2 linked regions of the Notamacropus eugenii genome follow. The protein of the gene in region 1 interacts with the protein of each later gene in a biochemical or structural test. Links are inferred from orthologs where the notes say so. Each region holds a gene or a part of one and is shown on either strand. Other genes may lie near its edges.

What was found.
Region 2: the proteins of HSPG2 (region 1) and FBLN2 form a complex in vitro, tested with the Homo sapiens proteins (2 studies listed by BioGRID). The link is inferred for Notamacropus eugenii from reciprocal best matches to the Homo sapiens genes HSPG2 and FBLN2.

What each region holds. Positions count from the first base shown.
Region 1 is NC_092876.1:62,012,964-62,021,522, reverse strand, and holds the start of HSPG2 (basement membrane-specific heparan sulfate proteoglycan core protein), read left to right. Parts: upstream 1-5,293; 5' UTR 5,294-5,355; coding exon 5,356-5,427; intron 5,428-8,559. UniProt on the Homo sapiens protein: Integral component of basement membranes. Component of the glomerular basement membrane (GBM), responsible for the fixed negative electrostatic membrane charge, and which provides a barrier which is both size- and charge-selective.
Region 2 is NC_092874.1:423,729,852-423,738,855, forward strand, and holds the start of FBLN2 (fibulin-2), read right to left. Parts: upstream 3,391-9,004; 5' UTR 3,146-3,390; intron 2,678-3,145; 5' UTR 2,513-2,677; intron 1-2,512. UniProt on the Homo sapiens protein: Its binding to fibronectin and some other ligands is calcium dependent. May act as an adapter that mediates the interaction between FBN1 and ELN.

The sequences.
Region 1 (8,559 bases):
TGACTTCCTGTTGTAAAGGTGAAATCAAGGCCTTGGCAGCAGCAGGATATGAGAACTAAGGTTTTCCAGACTTCAAGTCTGGCCCTCCATCCACAGTCACCTCATGGTTTACCACTCAATCCTTCTTCCCCTAAAACATGTGGATTGAGAATCCAGTCTGGCTAGGACCCAACATAATTCTAATTGGGATGTCAACAGGTTTTAGATATGTTAATGTTACTCTGAGATCGAACTAAAGACTAGGGTAGAGATAACTTCCTGAGGGTTGGGTTCGGAGATTTAAAATTGGATTGAGAAAGGGATGAAGGTGAAACAAGTGAGTGAGAAGAGACAGGATGATGCAGATGAGAATTTTAAAAATAACTTTTTATTCTTTTGTTTTACAAATAGTTTGTACGTATTAAGAATCGTTGGTGTTCCTGGTGTTGCTGTCCATTAGCCTCGTTGTGTTCGATTCTCCCTGACCCCATTTGGGGTTTTCTTGGCAGAGATACTAGAGTGGTTTGTCATTTCCCTCTCCAGTCCATTCTACAGATGAGGAAACTGAGGCTAACAGGGTGAAGTGACTTGCCCAGGTTAACCCAGCTAGTAAGTTTCTGAGACCAGATTGAACTCAAGGAGATGAATCTCCCTAACTCCAGGCCCTGTGCTCTATCCATGGCAACATTTAGCTGCCTCAAGCATCTGTTAAGGACCTACTATGTGCCAAGCATCATGATAGGTACTTTAAAAATTTTATTTCATTTGATCCTTACAACAACCCCAGAAGGTAAGTGCTATTATTATCCCCATTTTACAGTTGAGGAAAATGAGGCAGGTAAAGAAAAAATAAATAAACTGAGGCCCTAAGGAGGAGAAGAGGAATTGCCCTAGATTGCAAAGGAAATTGGTTTCAGAACTAGAGACTATCCCTCAGGCCTTATATGGGGACTATAAAATTGGAAGTTGGTGGCAACGTCCCAAACTGTGCACAGGCTGAATGTTGGAGTCAATCCCAGGCCAGCCTTCATTGGGCAGGAGCAGCGATAGGCAAGTTACGTGTTGTGCTCTGGCTGGTACAACCATGTTTGGTGTACTGCCTGACATGGGGCCTCATCTCTCCCATCAAGGCAGGAACTTCTCAGGAACAACTGGACAATGAGGGGAACTCCAAGGCTTGTGAAGTGGGACATTCCAAAAAACTTGCTCCACCGCCTTCAAGGTCAATTACAGCATCTTGGATCTTGACCCAGTCACCAGTTCTGTTTTTCCCTTTTGGGACTTGCTGACAACAATGAGGCCAATTCACTAAAAAAAAAAAGTTTACACAAATTCTTTCAGCTCTTTAGTAGGACTTGGCTCATCATCTCTCGTTTTAAAGACATATCCAAAGTCATAGAGCCAACATCCCATCCTACGTCTCCTAACTCGTGGCTTAATATTCTTCTAGAATCCTGTTGTCTATCTCCCTTTCTCCTATTATTACCCAGGAATTCTGCCCTCCCTACATATACGCCCTTAGATCCATGACCATTCATGGGCCTCAGGCTAGCTTTAGCGCTCAGTCAGTATTTCTTTAAAAGAAAGAAAATATTTAAACATTTGCTTTAAAAAAATGACAATTAAGAAAAAAAATCAAAAAGAAGGGTATTGGATTTGATGATTAGGAAATTACAAATAATTCTTTAGGATGAATTTTTTAAATTTAAAAATTCTTAATAATAAACATACCAGTAAAATGAAATCTTTCTGAAGGGAAGAAAACATATAGGTAGAAACAAAAAGTCCACGTAGGTAGATGCTGAAAAATCATTGAGCAAAATGTGTATCTGTTTACATCAAGGAACTGTAATCTTTACTGGGAGGTCAGATGGTTAGATAGTTGAAGAGGGGAGTCTGGGGACTGAAGTGATAGTTAGGATCTTATCTAGCCCAGGTCCAGGGGAGTATATCTAAAACCTGTCATTGGGGTCCTAGGACCCTGACAAAAATAAGAGTTAGCATTTACCAGGGGCACTGACAAATATAACCTCATTTGATCCTCACAACAACTCTTAGAGGTAGGTGCTATTATTAGCTCCATTTTACAGATGCGGAAACTGAGGCAGACCGCCATCAAGTGATTTGCCCAAGGTCACACATCTAGTAAGCATCTGAGGCCAAATCTGAACTCAGGTCTTTTCGACTCTATTTACTTTGTCACCTACAAAGGTACACCCCAATGGTATAAAAAAAGGGTTTGACCAGTAATGTCAAAAACATTCACTGGAGCTATTTCTACTGTATCATGTTAGAATCACTAATGGAGGAATTCTAGGGGCACTCTGGAAAGAGGTAGGCATGGAATATTTGGGGGAGGTCCTTCCTGGGAGCCTCCAAAACTCTGTAAAAGCCCCATAAAGAGCACCCCAGCAGCCAATCGAAAAGGATGACCAACTCTCCCAGGTCTCATTTCAGCTTCCTGTTATCTCTTACCCTGCTTGGATATCTTCTTTCTCTTCTCTCCTCTTCCCCTCTTCCTCCCTCCCAGTGGTCCAGGAAGCTGGGAGCTTGTTATCTCCATAGCTCTAGAGAGCATTAGGTCAATATTTCTGGGTTATCTGTATCAACTTGAGTCTACTTGTATCTGTGTCTCTTCCCCAGCCCTGGGGCTGAATATCCTGCTCACGATGGAGAACCTACTCTTTTTTTCTGTCTGTTGAGCTTTAGTTTCCTCATTTATAAAATGAGGGTGTTGAACTGAAAGATCTCTAAAGGTTCTTTCCATGGCTACATCTATTAGATTCTGTTTTTTGAGTCTGGGCCCACAGATGGCAGTCTCCCTGAAGACAGGGGCTGTGGCATTGGCATCTCCCTCAGCCCGGTGACTCTCCAAGCAAGGACAGAGCTGTTGTCCCTCACCCCTATGCCCAGAATGGGTGTAGGCAGGGCTTATCTTCCTTCTCAGGCTTGGGGCTCCTAATGGGCAGGGTCTGGCCTCTTCCTCTGATTGGAGGTTCCCCAAAGGCAAGAATTGTGTCTTCTCCAGATGACTGGGAACTTTAAGAGTAGGAATCTGGACTTTTCCTCTGACTTTTCCCACAGGGTCCAGCCAAGGACCCCACTGAAATGATGCTTTTTAAATATCAATATCTGAGGGACTTGAGTGGCCATATGAACATAACTGATAAGAGCAGAGGGCTGGCTTGGGCAGGGTGCAGAAACTGGTCTATTGCGCTGTCATTCAGAGTGAGGTAGGTTATTCTTTCCTGGCAGGCACTGAGATGTCCAAGCTTTCTCCCTGACCCTGACTTTGCCCTAAATGTCCCTTCTCACTGGCCCTGGGGTGGGAAGTGAGAACCCTTCCAATTGCTATGGAATCTGGTCCTTTAAGGCTACCCTGGAGCTAGGGTGGAGATAGGGGGAGTCTTCGGTGTCAACTGTAAAAGCTGAAATGTCCCCTCAAGGGCAAGGAGGTAGAGTGGAATATATAGTAGGAGTATTGACTTGGGAGTCAGGGAACATAGCTTCCAATCTTAGCTTTAATTCTTATTATCTGTGTGGTTTGGGGTATGTTACTTAATTTTGGTTGGCCTCAACTTTCTTACCTGCGAAATGGGAAATGAATTTGATTGCTTCAGAAGTCTATCAAAGAATTTAGTTTGAGGTTGGGGGAGGGGGGATGTGGGGCACTGGTTACTACTTTGAGAATGAGGTGAACCAAAATCAAGGAAAGTCATTGGTGGCCACAACGTGTCTCATGTGGGCCTTCTTAGGAGGCTGGGAGATAGGAGAGGAGGCATCCCAGTCCTGGACTCATTGGGCTCACAGGCTTGGAATGCCTTAGACCATGTCACACCCAGATGGGCACTTCCCCTGGGTCACTGCCCGCCCGTCTGGCTGGAGAGCCAGCCTGGAGCCTAAGGAAACCTAGCAACTCTCTGTTGAAACAATGGAAAACTTCATTTTTCTCTCCCTCCACCCCACCATTTCATTACTCAAAAGGTTTCTCTCAAGGTTTAAAAAAAAAAAAAAAGCAAACCCCCACCCAAAAAAATGTTTTCTTTCTGCCACTGAGCCTGGTGCCCTGGAAAATTTCAGGCGGAAAGGGGAATTTCAGAGTGAGTCCAAACTGGAAAGAAGAGCTGTGCCTGTTTGAAGTCATACATCTAAGAATTTCTTGGGAAATTCACAGGAACTGTGGACCAATTGTGTTCTGTCTCTGTGTGTGATTTGTATGATTGGTGTGTGTGTCTGGGATCATAGAATTAGAACCAACAGGCCCGGAGATCACATAGTCCAATCTCACTTTATGGAAAAGGAAGAGGTTGAAGTAATGGGAGGGTCAGGGAAGGCTTCCTGGAGGAGGCGACATTTTGCATTCAACTTTAGGGAGAATTCAACAGGGCTCTGATTTGTGTGAATGACTGGGTGAGCTGAGGAGCTCTTTCTTCTTTCTCTCTGTGAGGTCACCAGGAAAGGGATAGGAACTCCTGCCTTAGACAGTTTTGCACCTCAATATGAGTCCTTAGGACCATAGATTTAGACCTGGAAAGGGCCTCAGAGGCCATCTGGTTTAAACTCTTCATTTTACAGAAGAGGAAACTGAGGCATAAAGAGTTTAAGAGAATTTAGGTTGTCCAGATAGTAAGCTATACTAACAGGCAGGATCTGAATCCAGGTCCTGTGACTCCAAAGCCCAAGCGTTCTTTGGAGAGGATCAGGAGTCCCAACGTGTAGACTAGCCTTGATTCGTGTTTCTAAGTTACTGTGTGAGGTGCCAATTTGTTCAAGGGTTCAGGAAGTATTTTCGCCAGCGGGATGGGGGGACGAGGATCTTGGAGCATTTCAAGTCCAATCCCTCGTTTTTCGTAGAGGGAGCTAAGGCCCCGAGAAGTTACGCGACTTGTCCAAGGTCTCACAGCAAGAACCCCATCGAAAGCGCTTTCCTCCAGCCCTCGCTGCGGGCTGGGTCTGGTTTTCACCCTCTCCCTGCACCCCGCTCTGCTCCTCGCCTTCGGGGCAGGTTTGCGCGAGCCGATCCGGGACCACGGCCCTCCCCTCCACAGTTAGCTCCGTCAGTCCTCCCGGGCCTCTCCAGGTCTCCCCGCGCCCCCGCACCCCGCCCCTGGTCCCATCCCGGACTCCAGGCCGGGTTTGGCGGGGAGCCGGCCCTGGGCCGCTGCCCCGCTGGGGAGGCGGGGGGGGATCGGGGGCCCAGACAAAGGGCCAAGGTGGCTGCGCGGCCCGGGCTCCAGCCTCCTGGGCCGGGCCGGAGGCGGGGCCGGGCCGGAGGCGGGGCCGGCCCTGGGAGGCGGGGGCTGGGAGTGGGGGGCAGAGAGCCGGGGCGCCGCGCCGAGCCCTAGCCCAGCCGAGCCGAGCGAGCGGGCCGCAGACATGGGGCCGCGGGCGGTGCGGACGGGGCGGCTGCTGCCGCCGCTGCTGCTGCTGCTGGGTCCTCTCCTCAGCGTGAGTCCGCCCCTGCCATCCCTCCCCACCCTCCATTCCTTTCTCCTGTCCTCACCCCTCGGCTTCTCCGGCCACTTTGGTAACTTTGCGTGCCCGGAGGGCAAGTTGGCTCCGCGGCCAGCGGGCTGGGGCTGCCCGGGGGACTGGGAGGGACGGGCTGGGGATCGGGGATGGGGGCTCAAGTCGGCCGGTCGGCCGCGCGCCTGCCTCGGCACCTTTGCCCTGCGCCTTCCCCCCGGGGCATATGTCCTCGAGGGCCCCGCGATGCCCCTGGACCTCCTGGGCCACAGAGGGCTGGGTTCGGAGAGGGCACGGGGGCTGAGGAGAGAGGGAGAGGCCGGAGCCCGAGTCCTCCAAGAACTCGAGAAACTTTGAGCGCCCAGAGAAAAGTTGGCTTTTCGGTAGATCAACCCCATAGGCTGGGGTCCCTCGGGCACAGGGCAAGGCTGGGTGCACCACCACCCCCTCTGGCCCCAGGAAACCAGACCCTAAAGGGGAAGGGCTGTCCAGTGGAGAAGTCCAGTTAGGAAATGAGAGGCCCAAGCTCCCCAGTCCATGCCGCCCTTGGAGACAGTAGGAATCTGGCTACCCTTGGGTGACCTGCCTGTGCCACGCACGGGGCCAGCCTCAGGGGAGTGGAGAGGGGAGAGAATCGAGAGAGAATGGGCGGGGTCAGTCCCCACGCGGGGAGAGTGGGCGGGATCGTCACCTGTAGTGGGGAGAGTAGTTGGGGTCAGCGTCCCGGGTGGGAGGCCGGACCCTCTATGGGACCTCGTGTATGACGTGGAGGGGCTAAGCATTTGCCTCCGACGAAGAGAATAGACAGGTGGGGGCATTTATGGGGGAGTGCAAGGAGAAGATCTCTCCCCCTGGGCCCATCACTTCACCTCTGCCTCAGTTTACTCAATGATTTCCAAGGTATTGGGAAAATGGCTGGGGACCACCCATATTCTCCTAGCTTCTTTTGCTCTATAGACTGAGCCAGGATGACCCTAGGGATTCTTTTTTCGGGGAATGAGGTCTGTGGGAGCCTTAAGGCTACATATTTGGAAACAAGACTAGCTCAAACTGGCTTTTGTGGCCCTTTCCTCAGTGGTATACACTGAAGGTGTTGGATTAGATCCCTGTGGTCCTTTCCCTCATGTGGTCCCTTTACATTCTATGATGCCTCTGTTAAAGAGGCCTGGGACAGGGTGTGGGGTGGGGACTTGCCCACAGTAAGCTCTTCCATTCCTGGCTCCTGACTTTGGTGAGCCAGGGCCCTAGGGAGGGCCCTGGGCAGGCACTCTGCTGTGAAGGGCCCCAGAGAACAGCTGCTTTTCCATTAATAAGTATATATTTGACTCATCCAATCTGACCATGCCCTTAAGGACCTTACACCTCAGAACAAGAAACTAACTAACCCTGGACAAGATCATTCACTAGGGGACTGATCCCAGGTAGTTAGACTTGAAACTACACTTAACGACCTCAAACTGCCTCAGCCTCTTATTTTACCGATGGGCAAATTCAGGCCCAGAAAGGTTGAAGTCAGAGAGGGAAATCACTGTCATGGGACTTGAAAGAGATAGGAAAAAAAAAAATCTCCTGAAATCTCAACAGATAGCTAAATAACTTTAACGTATGTTTGTGTCCTGCTTGGACGTTGCCTAGGAAATTTCCTCAAAACATTCCTTTAAGGTAGATCGTCTGCGCATTCATAAGATTATAGCCCTAGTGCTGGAAGGTACCTTAGATACTTTTTAAGCCCATCCTCCCTCATTTTACAGATGTGAAAACCAAGATGTGGCTTGCCCAGGTTCACACAGCTGGGATCTGAGGCAGGAGGCAATCTATCTTCCTGGCTCGGGTGCTCTAACCATTACGCCTTGCTGCCTTGTGCCTATCTTGGTGATACTAATTGTACTGGATTTGGAGGAGGAGACCCTAAAGCCACTTTAGCTCTCTAGGGCTCACGCCTCCTCATCTGTAAAATGAACCAAAATGATGGGGCAGCCTCAGACCAGTGGTATCAAAATCAAATAGAGATCCCTGCAGGCTGCAGACTGACTCAGAAAGCCACAGTTTCACTTTATCTGTTTCGTGGTTTTATTTATTTTGTCAAACATATCCCAGTTCCATTTTAATGCACTCGTTCTGACACCTCTGGACCAGAAGAGGTAGCAGGTTCAGGCTGGACATCCCTCCCCTTGGACCAACTCCACTGAAATTTCTTCCTCTGATTCCTCAACCCAGTGAGGAGGTGAACCTGTGTTCTAGAAGGTTCTACAGGCTCTAAGGAGAGCATAAGTTCTGCCAGGGTTGATGATCATGGAAAGGCCCAGACTGGTAGTGTGGCTGTCAGTGGAGGACCAGCCTAGCTGAGTGTGTATGGAGAGGTCCCTCATCATGTTGGCGCCTGCCTTGATGGATAGATTTTTTTAGTTACAGTTTCTCTTAACCAAGTGCTTAGTATAGAAAAGCCTGTAGTCTGGGTGGGCCCATTTCAGAACCTTGGTGGAAGATCATAGAATTTAAAGCCAAAGGAACCTTAGAGATCCATCTACTCTAATCTCTTTCATTTTACAGATGAGGAAACTGAGGCTTACCTAGAATGAGGGAATAACTTGCCCAAGGTCACACAGATAGTAAGTGGCAAAATTAGGCTTCAAGCACAGACCCTCTGACTGCAAAATCTGCTGCTTTTAATAGACCTAGACTCTTAAATTTTTCCTCCTCTGCCAGGATAGTGCCCTGAGGAGCTGCTGGCACATTCCCCAGCTCCAGAGCCCTAACTCCAGCTACTGATTCTCTGGACACAGGAGCCCTTGGTCCCATTGATAGGAAAAAAGAAGGGAGTGTCTCTAATCCCAAAGCCTGGAAAGTAGTTGGTGGTGAGAGGCCTAGAGAACTGGAAAGAACTCCCCGGGAAGAGGGGAGGCTGGGGCGGGGTCAGTGGGCAGGGAGTTGGTGGCCCGAGGTTGGGTGGGTGGAATCTGGGGAGATGGGCCAGGCCTGTTACACTGAGCCATGCATCCCGCCTTTATACTCTCTCATCCAGCTCTGGAGCTCTCCTGGCCACAAGCAAGATTTTTCTAACCCAGCAAATGTTTACCTAGTGACTGACTCTATCTCCTAGTGACTTCATCCCCT
Region 2 (9,004 bases), on another chromosome or scaffold:
TGATAGCTGATGAGGCTCCTTCTAGCACTAAAGGTCTGAGTTTCTGTGATCCTAATCATTATTCAAAGACCAGGTCAAATGACACCTCTTCTAGAGAGTTTTTCTATTCTCCCTAGCCAGGAGTCATGTCACTTTCCTTCAAGTTTCCACAGCATTGAGGCTGAACCGCCCTTAAGAAACTTCCCATGTTCTACATGGAACCATCATCATCTCTAAGCATGTTTCATCCTGGCTACAGAAACTGTGTCATTTTCCTCATAACACAGTGCCTTAGTAGGTGTTCATTGAATTCAACTGAATAATTCCCTGTTAATTAGACCATGGGATCCAGAAAGTAGAAACTATCCCTCCTCTCTTAAGCCCTTTAACACCAAAGACAGGGTTGGGAACACAGTGAGCGTTCAATTTGTTGAATTGAAAAATTGCAAAGATTTTTCAAATCCCCATCAGGCAAACAAAAAAATAAACAAAAAAAAAATATTCTTTGAAACATTGAACCAACTCAACTGTATGAGAGGAAACTCAGTTCTGAGGTGAGATAGCCTGGAGCCAGAGATTTCCCCAGTTAGTCTCCCACTGCACAGCTCAGCAGTTGCCTCCCACACATCCCATTCAGAATACAAGTTTGTGTGGCATATGGCCAGCCCCCAGAGCTCGGGCCTCCACAGGCCTCTAGCATGGTTTGTCACCCCAAGAAACCCACAATGCACTGCTTAAACCTGCTCCCCTGCTCCTTTTCTCCCAGATGGAGCTAAGTCCAACCTCACTAGGGAACTGTCCAGCAAAAAGAAAAAAAAGAAAGAAAGAAAAAATAGCCATCTGCTTTTATCAGCAGAAACGATGAGTTCAAGGTAAGTCATTTGTTACCTGACTTTAACTCTACCAATCTTTTTCTATAGAACTATATCTATGGGACAATCCCCAGGTGCTTCCCAATTGTTTAAAGTCACTCCATACCTTGCTAACTCCTCATCTCCAACCAAGGACAGAAGTAATACTCCACTCAACTGAATCATGTGTTTCTAAGATCCATCATTTATGATATCCAGAGACCACTTGGGTCATTTTTCACCACTACTGGACAGCAGTCAATTGCAAATGTGCATGGCCACATTCAAGCCAGGAACCAAGGTAGAAAAATGAGGAAGGGGGATAATAACTGTCAAGTTGTAAAATCTTGACCACTAAGTGTATGGATATAGCCACACCTCCTTGCCTGTGGATGGTTTGAAAAGAATGGAAATCACTAGTACAGGGAAATTTCATGTTTCATTCCCTACCTTTCTCCTGCTTGTGTGGTTTCCAGATCAAAGGAGATGCCCAGTCTAAACAGAAGATGAGACTGAATCAAGTGGCACAATCTATCTTAACTGGAGCCCAATCTGTCTTTCATTTTTTGCCAGCCCCCAGATGCCAAAGAGGGATCAGAGAGAAAGGCAGAGAGAAAGGTCAGAGGCCAGGGAGAACAAGAGAGTGGAGGGAGACTGGATATGGATAGGGAGGAGAAAAAAAGGGGAAGAGGAAAGGAAGGGAGATGATGAAGAAAAAAAGGAAACGGAAGGTTAAAAAGGGAAGGAAAAGTTCGGAAGAGAAAGAAGGATGGAAAGTGGGAGGGGGAGAGAGAAGTAAGCAAAGAACGCAGGATTCATATTGACTTAACCTATGAGAAAGGACACTAGAATTGGGTATCCTCAGAGCAACAGGCTTCGCAGAAGTCTCGGACAATATTTCTTTCTCTGCACCCCTCCCTATTACTCCACCCCCACCCGTTAATTCTTTTTCTTAACTAGAATAAGGCTCACACCCCAGGCAAAGAAGCCAGCACAGTTTGGAGAGCAGTTGTAATAAAACCAACCCCCTCTGCCAAGAGAAATTCCCAACCACATCCAGCTCTCAGTGGGCCCTGAGCCACAAACACCCACGAACCCACAAGCGGTTGGCTCTGGGGGCCGTCCCCACCCAGAACATTGCTTTCCATAAAAGTAACATTTGGGAGCAGCATCTGGAGAGAAAAGGGGGTGTGCGTCTGTCTGTGTCTGTCTGTATGTGTGTGTGTGTGTGAGTGATGGACATCCTGCCACTCTCGTGTGAAAAAAAAATGAGTAGATTGAAAATAAATCAACTCTCTTCTCTGGTGGCCAGAACTCACGAACTTTGGAGTAGAGTGAAGCAGTTCCCGGGGTCCCCCTGCCAGGCAGGCGTCCCGGGCTCAGAGTCGGAGGCAGAGGAGCAGGCAGAGGGGGCAGGATTGAGGGCTGGCACCTGGGGCTGGTGCATCCGGACCAGTTGGGCATAACGGAAAGGAGAAGCCCGCGTCTAGAGCGATCGAAGCAGAGAAAGCTGGGGTGGGGGTGCCCCGGAATTCCTTTCCCAAACTGTAGGGAGGGGGAGCGTGCCTCAGCCTTCCGCGGCTCGGGAGAGAGCCGGGATGGAGGTGGCAGGGCGGACTGCGGGAGGAAAGGGCGCCTCCAGAGGGTCTCCAGCTGCAGGGCGCACAGCGCCTCGTACTCACCGCGCACCCCAACTTCACTCCGGTCCGCGGGTCAGGGCACTCCAAGCCCGGCCGGCGGGGCAGGGGGAGCCGGGGGGCGGGGGGCCGGAGGCCGGGAGCCGGGCTCTGCTGGGCTGGACCGTGATGGACTGCTCGCTGCTCGCGGTCCCGGCCCGGCGTGTGAGGCTGAGCAGAGCAGGAGGGAGGGGAAGAAAAGGAAAGGGAAGGGAGGGGAGGGGGCGCTCGGGGAGCCGGGCAGAGGGGGAGGGACCAAGAGCAAAAAAGTTTTTCAGGCTGCCGCCCGACTGGCTGGCCGAACCTGCTCCCCCACCCCCCGCGCTCCTTACGCCGCCCCCTCCCCCTGCTCTGGGGCCAGGCAGTCACCTCGCCCCTTGGGGCGTCCCCTCCCCCATCCGGCTCACCCGCCGGCTTGGCGGGGAGGTCTGGAGGCCCCCTCGAGACCTTTCGGTGCCAAGCCATCCCCCTCTCCCCGACGGGGGCAGCTGCACTGGTGCGCCCTCCCCACCCTCGAGACTTTCTTGGGTTCTGAGTTTGGAGAAGTGAGACAAAAAGGGACGCGCAGGGCAGGGAATCTGGGTACGAGACTGCCGTCACCTCCCTAGCCTTCACCTCCGGCTTGATCATCCCCCTTACCTCTCACTGGGGTCTCTCCAGGCGTAGAATCCTTTCCTCTGCCTTCCCCGCTTTCTCCCTAAGAGAGGAGGGAATCCCTTCTCTTGACCCGGTCACCCTGATCCCCCCTCCCCCACATCAGCAGGAAGAGAAAAGGAGAGGGCACAAAAGGAGGAATCTCCCAGCAGAGCGGACAGTCATTTGTGTCTGAGGGCCCTTCACTTCAAGAGCTAGCGGGCTTCTCCCCGGCCACTGCCGGTCATTCCCCGGAGCTGTCAGATTTGTGTAAAAATACTGCGCTCCATCCTGGTCTGAATTAAACAGGAACGCCAAGCCAAGAAGAACAAAAGTTTGACTGTGAACCACGAAGAGAAAATCACTTAGAGGCCAAAGAGGATGAGGCCACGGGTACCCGTGACTCACCTCCTCCCAAAGCTCTGTGAACTGGGTTGGAGTAGGCCAACTCAGCCCCTCCTAGCCCACCGGGGACCCTCCCCTACTTGTTTAACTAGGGTCTGGGAAGAGGTCAGGTACCTGGGCACCTAGGCACAAATTCTTCGTGATGCCAGCAGGCTTCTGGCTCAAAACTCTAATTCCTCTGGTGGTGAAAAACGAGCTGATGTGAAAAGGCTGGTGACTGGAGAACAAGAGAACCGAGCAAGCAGGAACCTGTGTCTTCAGGAGGGATGAGGAATGTATAAAACTCCTACCTCCCGAAACAATGTGCTCCCTGAGATGGGAGACTCCACAAGCCTAAGCCACATGGATGAGCTGTAAGAAAATGTACTTTAGCTAGGAGACCCTAGGATAGAGCACTGTGGATAGAGCACTGGCCTGGAGTCAGGAGGATCTCCTTTCAAATTCCACCTCAGAAACTTACTATCTGTGGGACACTGGGCAAATCACAAACTCTGCCTCAGTTTCCTCATCTGTAAAATGAGCTAGAGAAAGAAATGGCAAATCACTCTAAGATCTTTGCCAAGAAAACCCCAAATGGGGGAGGGGTCACATGAATCAGACACAGCTGAAAAAAACCACTCATCAACAAAAGGAGGAGACCCTTAAAAGTTAGAACACGGCTTCTCTCTCACTATCTGGGGTTGTTCCCCTCTCCTCTCTTTCCTAACTCTTGAGGCCCACCTTGTCCTTCAAAACAAACAGCATTGAAAAAGGAGCCCAATTACCTCCCAGCTAAGGTAAACATTTCTTAACAGAAAGCTGACCCTAGGGTGGTATGATGTGGGAAAGGGGAAAATTGTGTCCTCTGAATGATGGCACCCCACAGAGGCCTGGGATTTCATTCACAGAAAATCAGCTTTAGACCCCTTTCCACACCAGGATTTCCTTTCTATAACTCCTTTCCTAGTCTGTGGTTAGGGGGAGAAGGTGGTGGTGATGAGGATGACAAACAGATGTCACATTTTAAAGGAACCAAATAAAGAAAGGAGAGGAAGAAGAGCCATAAAGCTTCAGGAATCAGATTCCTTGGGATACAAAGCCTTCTAGTTTCCTGAGGACTTCAACCTTTAGGGAGTAGGGGGACTTAGAAAACAAGCCTCACTTTGCATGGTGTGATGTCTCATTACTCATGATGGAGAGCACACTGAACTCAGAGGCTGGAAAATCTAATTTTGAATACGGCCTCTGACATTTAGGATCATATATTGAGAAATAGATAACCTTAGACATCATTTAGTCATTTTAAAGATGAGGAAACTGAGGCATTAATGAGGGTTAAGGTCAGGATCCCACAGCTAGTAAGTATCTGAGGCTAGATTTGAACTTAGACAGGCGCTCTATCCACCTAGCTGCTCACTTAGTGCCAATAAATGATTGTTGATTGAGTTATACTAACGAATAATGAATGAATGACTGGGTAAAGACCTCTTTTCCAGCTCTAAATCTATGAACCTAGGGGTTAAAGGACCTGTTTCCTAGTCCTTTTTGCTCCGAAGTACTTGTGCTAAGCCAGAAGGAAGTGAAGGCCACATCTAAGAAGTGATGGGCTTTGACTTGTATAGACTGGGCCAGGGTCCAGTTAGTAGAGAACAAAACAACAGTTCCAATGGACCACTTTAATTAATTAATTAATTAAATTTATTTTCAGTCTTCCACAATCACTACCATATAACTTAGATTTTTTTTTCCCTTTCTCCCCTCTACCTCTCTGAGATGGTATATAGGTTCTACACATACATTCTTATTAAATAAATTTTCAACATAGTCATGTTGTATAGAAGAATTAAAATGAATGGGAGAAATCATATAACAAATCAAAACGTAATAGAAAAGAAAATCATCTGCTATATTCTGTGATTGAATTCCATAGTTCTTTCTCTGGATGCGGAAGACATTTTGCCTTAAAAGGTCATTGGGAATTTTTTAAGTACTTGCATTGCAATGAAGTTCTAAGTCTACCAGAAAAAAATCCTCAAACACTATGGTTGTTGCTGTGTACAAAGTTCTCCTGGCTCTGCTCCTTTCACTCAGCATCAGATCATATAAGTCTTTCCAGGCCTCTCTGAAGTCTTCCTGTTCATCATTTCTTATAGCACAATAGTATTCCATTACATTCATATACCACAACTTGTTCAGCCATTCCCCAATTGATGGGCATCCCCTTGATTTTCAGTTTTTGGCCACCATAAAGAGGGATGCTAGAAAAATTTTTGTACATGTGGGACCCTTTCCCATTTTTGTGATCTCTTGGGGATATAGTCCTAGAAGCAATACTACTGGGTCCAAAGATATGCATATTTTTGTAGCCCTTTGGGCATAGTTCCAAATTGCTCTTCAGAATGGTTGGATCAACTCACAGCTTCACCAACAATGAATTAGTGTTCCAACTCTCCCACATCTTCTCCAACATTTATCATCTTCCTGTTTTGTCCAATGGACCACTTTTAGAAATGTTCCTGGACTGCAGCTCCTGCTGGGATCAGAAAGGAGGAAATAGTTCCTCTGGGCCCTTAGCACTGAGAGTCGCAGGCAGATTTCATCTGTACCGTCATGGCTGATAGCTAGAAAATTAGGAAGCAACAGATGCTTTAGAATCACTGAATTTGCAACAGAAAGAAAGCTTACAGTCTGCCTAGTCCAACACTTTCCACTTTCATTTTATAGATAAAAAAAATGACCCAGGAACACAAGATGACTTGCCAAAAGTCACATAACTAACTATTCAACACAAAGCCAAGAGTAGATTCCAGCTTTCTCTTGATTCCTGGTCCATGATACTTCACTACCTCTAGTCTCCAGGCCTAGTGGCTTTGCTTAAAAAGTGGGGGCAGTAGTGCTCAGGTCTCTTCTTGAGGACTTAGCACTCTAGCAAGCAGAAGTTTTGCAAAATATAGCACCTAGAAAGAAACTAAAGGGGAAAAATAATGAGAAAACTGTGAAACAAAGAGAAATAACTTGCTGAAAATTGCCCAACTCAAAAGTGTCAAAGTTGACAATCCAACAGAGAATATTAGACTTGGAGCCTGAGGACTAGATTCATATCCCAGCCCCATTACTTACTACCTGTATGACTTCAGATAAGTCACTTTACCACTCTGTTTCCCCATCAGTAAAATAAAGGAGTTGCACCAGGTCTCTTTCAGTTATTTTCTAGGATCCTATGACTATCTGACTCCTGTGTCAATGTTATTTCCATCGTAATGATTCCCCCTGCCAGAGCTTGGACCTGGGAGGAAGGAATGTCTAACTCCATTCAAAAGATGTTAGAAAGACTTGGGGTAAGGAGAGGCATTTTTTCTTAAGGATGGAACTAGGTGTCTCCCATAGTTCATGCATCAGGTCATGTTTCAAAAGCAAAGACCAATCCTGTGTCTCTTTGTAGAAAGAGCCTAGACGTGGATGATTGTCTGTCCAATGGGCTTTATGTGCTGGAGGTAACCCTGAGGGATGGGAAAGAGGACTATTTGGAGAATTAGGAGACCTGACGTCTTAGCCTGGCTCTATTGCTTACTCCTTGGATATCTTAGGGCAAGTCAATTAATCTATCTCAGTCCACTCTCCTCATCTTTGAAATCTGGACATGGATAAGAGGATCCCAAAGTCTTCCTACATACATCTCTAAGAACCTGTGATTCTCTTCTCTGCAGAAATGTGGGGGAAGTCCAGAATGATGGACTGTCAATGTCTAAGGGGGCATCTAGTCCAGCCCATATCATACTCAACAAGGGATTAGCCTCTAATTGAAACCCTTCAACATAGGAGTAGCCACTACTTTTGAAGACAGCACATTCTATTTTGGGAAAGCTCTAATGCTTAGGGAGTTATTTTTCTCCCTAAATTTGCCTCTTTGTAGCTTCTATCTCTTTTTGGATTTTCCCTTTGACTTCCCCCCTTCTGTGATTACATAGCTAGTGAGTACCAGAGGCAGCATTTAAATCCAGATGTTACTGACACAAAGTTCCACATTCTTTTTGTAGGGAATACGAAGGAATCCGAGTGGAAAATTCAGGTATAGATTGAACTAAATGACTTCCAAGGTCGTTTCTAACCCTAAGACTGATTTCATTGGAAGAAAATAATCATTTGGCAAGGATTAAGCCCTGCTCTGTGGTCTCCTGGGCTATACCTGCAAGAGGATATCTTGATCTCCCCAGTCTCATGTTGAATCATGGTGATGAATGGTGTCCCCTCCTCCCTTCTAAACTGTAAAGATTCCCCTTCCTAAGCCTTTGGATTTATCAGAAATGAGAAGGCAGGGAGAACTCTTCCCCCTGTATATTGATAACACTGAAAATAAAGCTTTAAGAGATGGAAACCAGTCAGATGATAATCTTCTAATTTATAACAGACCAAAATGATGGAAAATAGCAAAGTGAGCCAATAAGCATATTTAGTCCAAGGCAAAAAGCTTCCCAGGCACCTAAAGCAGAGATGGGGAAGATGGATGACTCAGGTAAATTCCTCAATGGTGCTGATTTATCCATTCTTAACTCAACCTGAATTTCTCAGGGTTAAAAAAAAAAACATCTTCACTAGTAGTTGTTTGCCCACTTTACTGAGTCTATAATCCCATATTTTATAAAATGTTTGAGCTAGAAGGGACCTTAAAAACCTTCTTGTCCGGGGATTTTTAACCTTTGTGTGTGTGCATGTGCATGTGTATGTGTGTCTGTGTCTGTGTGTATGTGTGAGTGTGTGTATGTGTGTGTGTGTGTGTGTGTGTCATGGTTTTCTCTGGCAGTCTGGTGAAGCATTGGAACCCCTTCTGCAAATAATCTTTTTAAGTGCATAAAATAGCATATGTAGGATCACAAAGGAAATCCATTATATTGAAAATATAGTTATCAAGATGTTTTTAAAAAATAAACTTACAGGGCAGAGCCAAGATGGTAGAGTAGAAAGACACACATACACAGGGTCTCCCCACACAGCCCATAAAATACCTGTAGAGAGGGACTCTCAACAAATTTTGGAGCAGCAGAAGTGGAGAGCAACAGAGTGGAGGAGATTACCAGCCCAGGGTGACCTGAAAGGCCCATGGAAAATGGCTATTGCACCAGACGTGGAGGGGAGCCCAGCCCAGCCTTGGCCATGCAGTGTGGTGCAACTCTGGGATGAGGACACCTTAGGGGCAGAATCTCCAGTGGCGGAATCCCCAGTCCCAGTAGCAGTGGGTCCACAGATCCCTCAACCCACAGGCACCAAAGGTCAGTGACGGGGGTTTTTCAGCTGGCCAGGAAGGGAGAAGGGTCTTCCCATAGCTCCAGCCTCAGGCAGGGGCCCGCAGAGGCCACATCAGGCAGGCAGCAGCAGTTCTCATGGCAGCCCCTACAGCAGCCTGCATCCATTGTTGGATCGTAAAACCCCTGGGGGCACTGAGGAACTGAATATTACCTTGACCCTGTATAGAGGCCCTGAGGG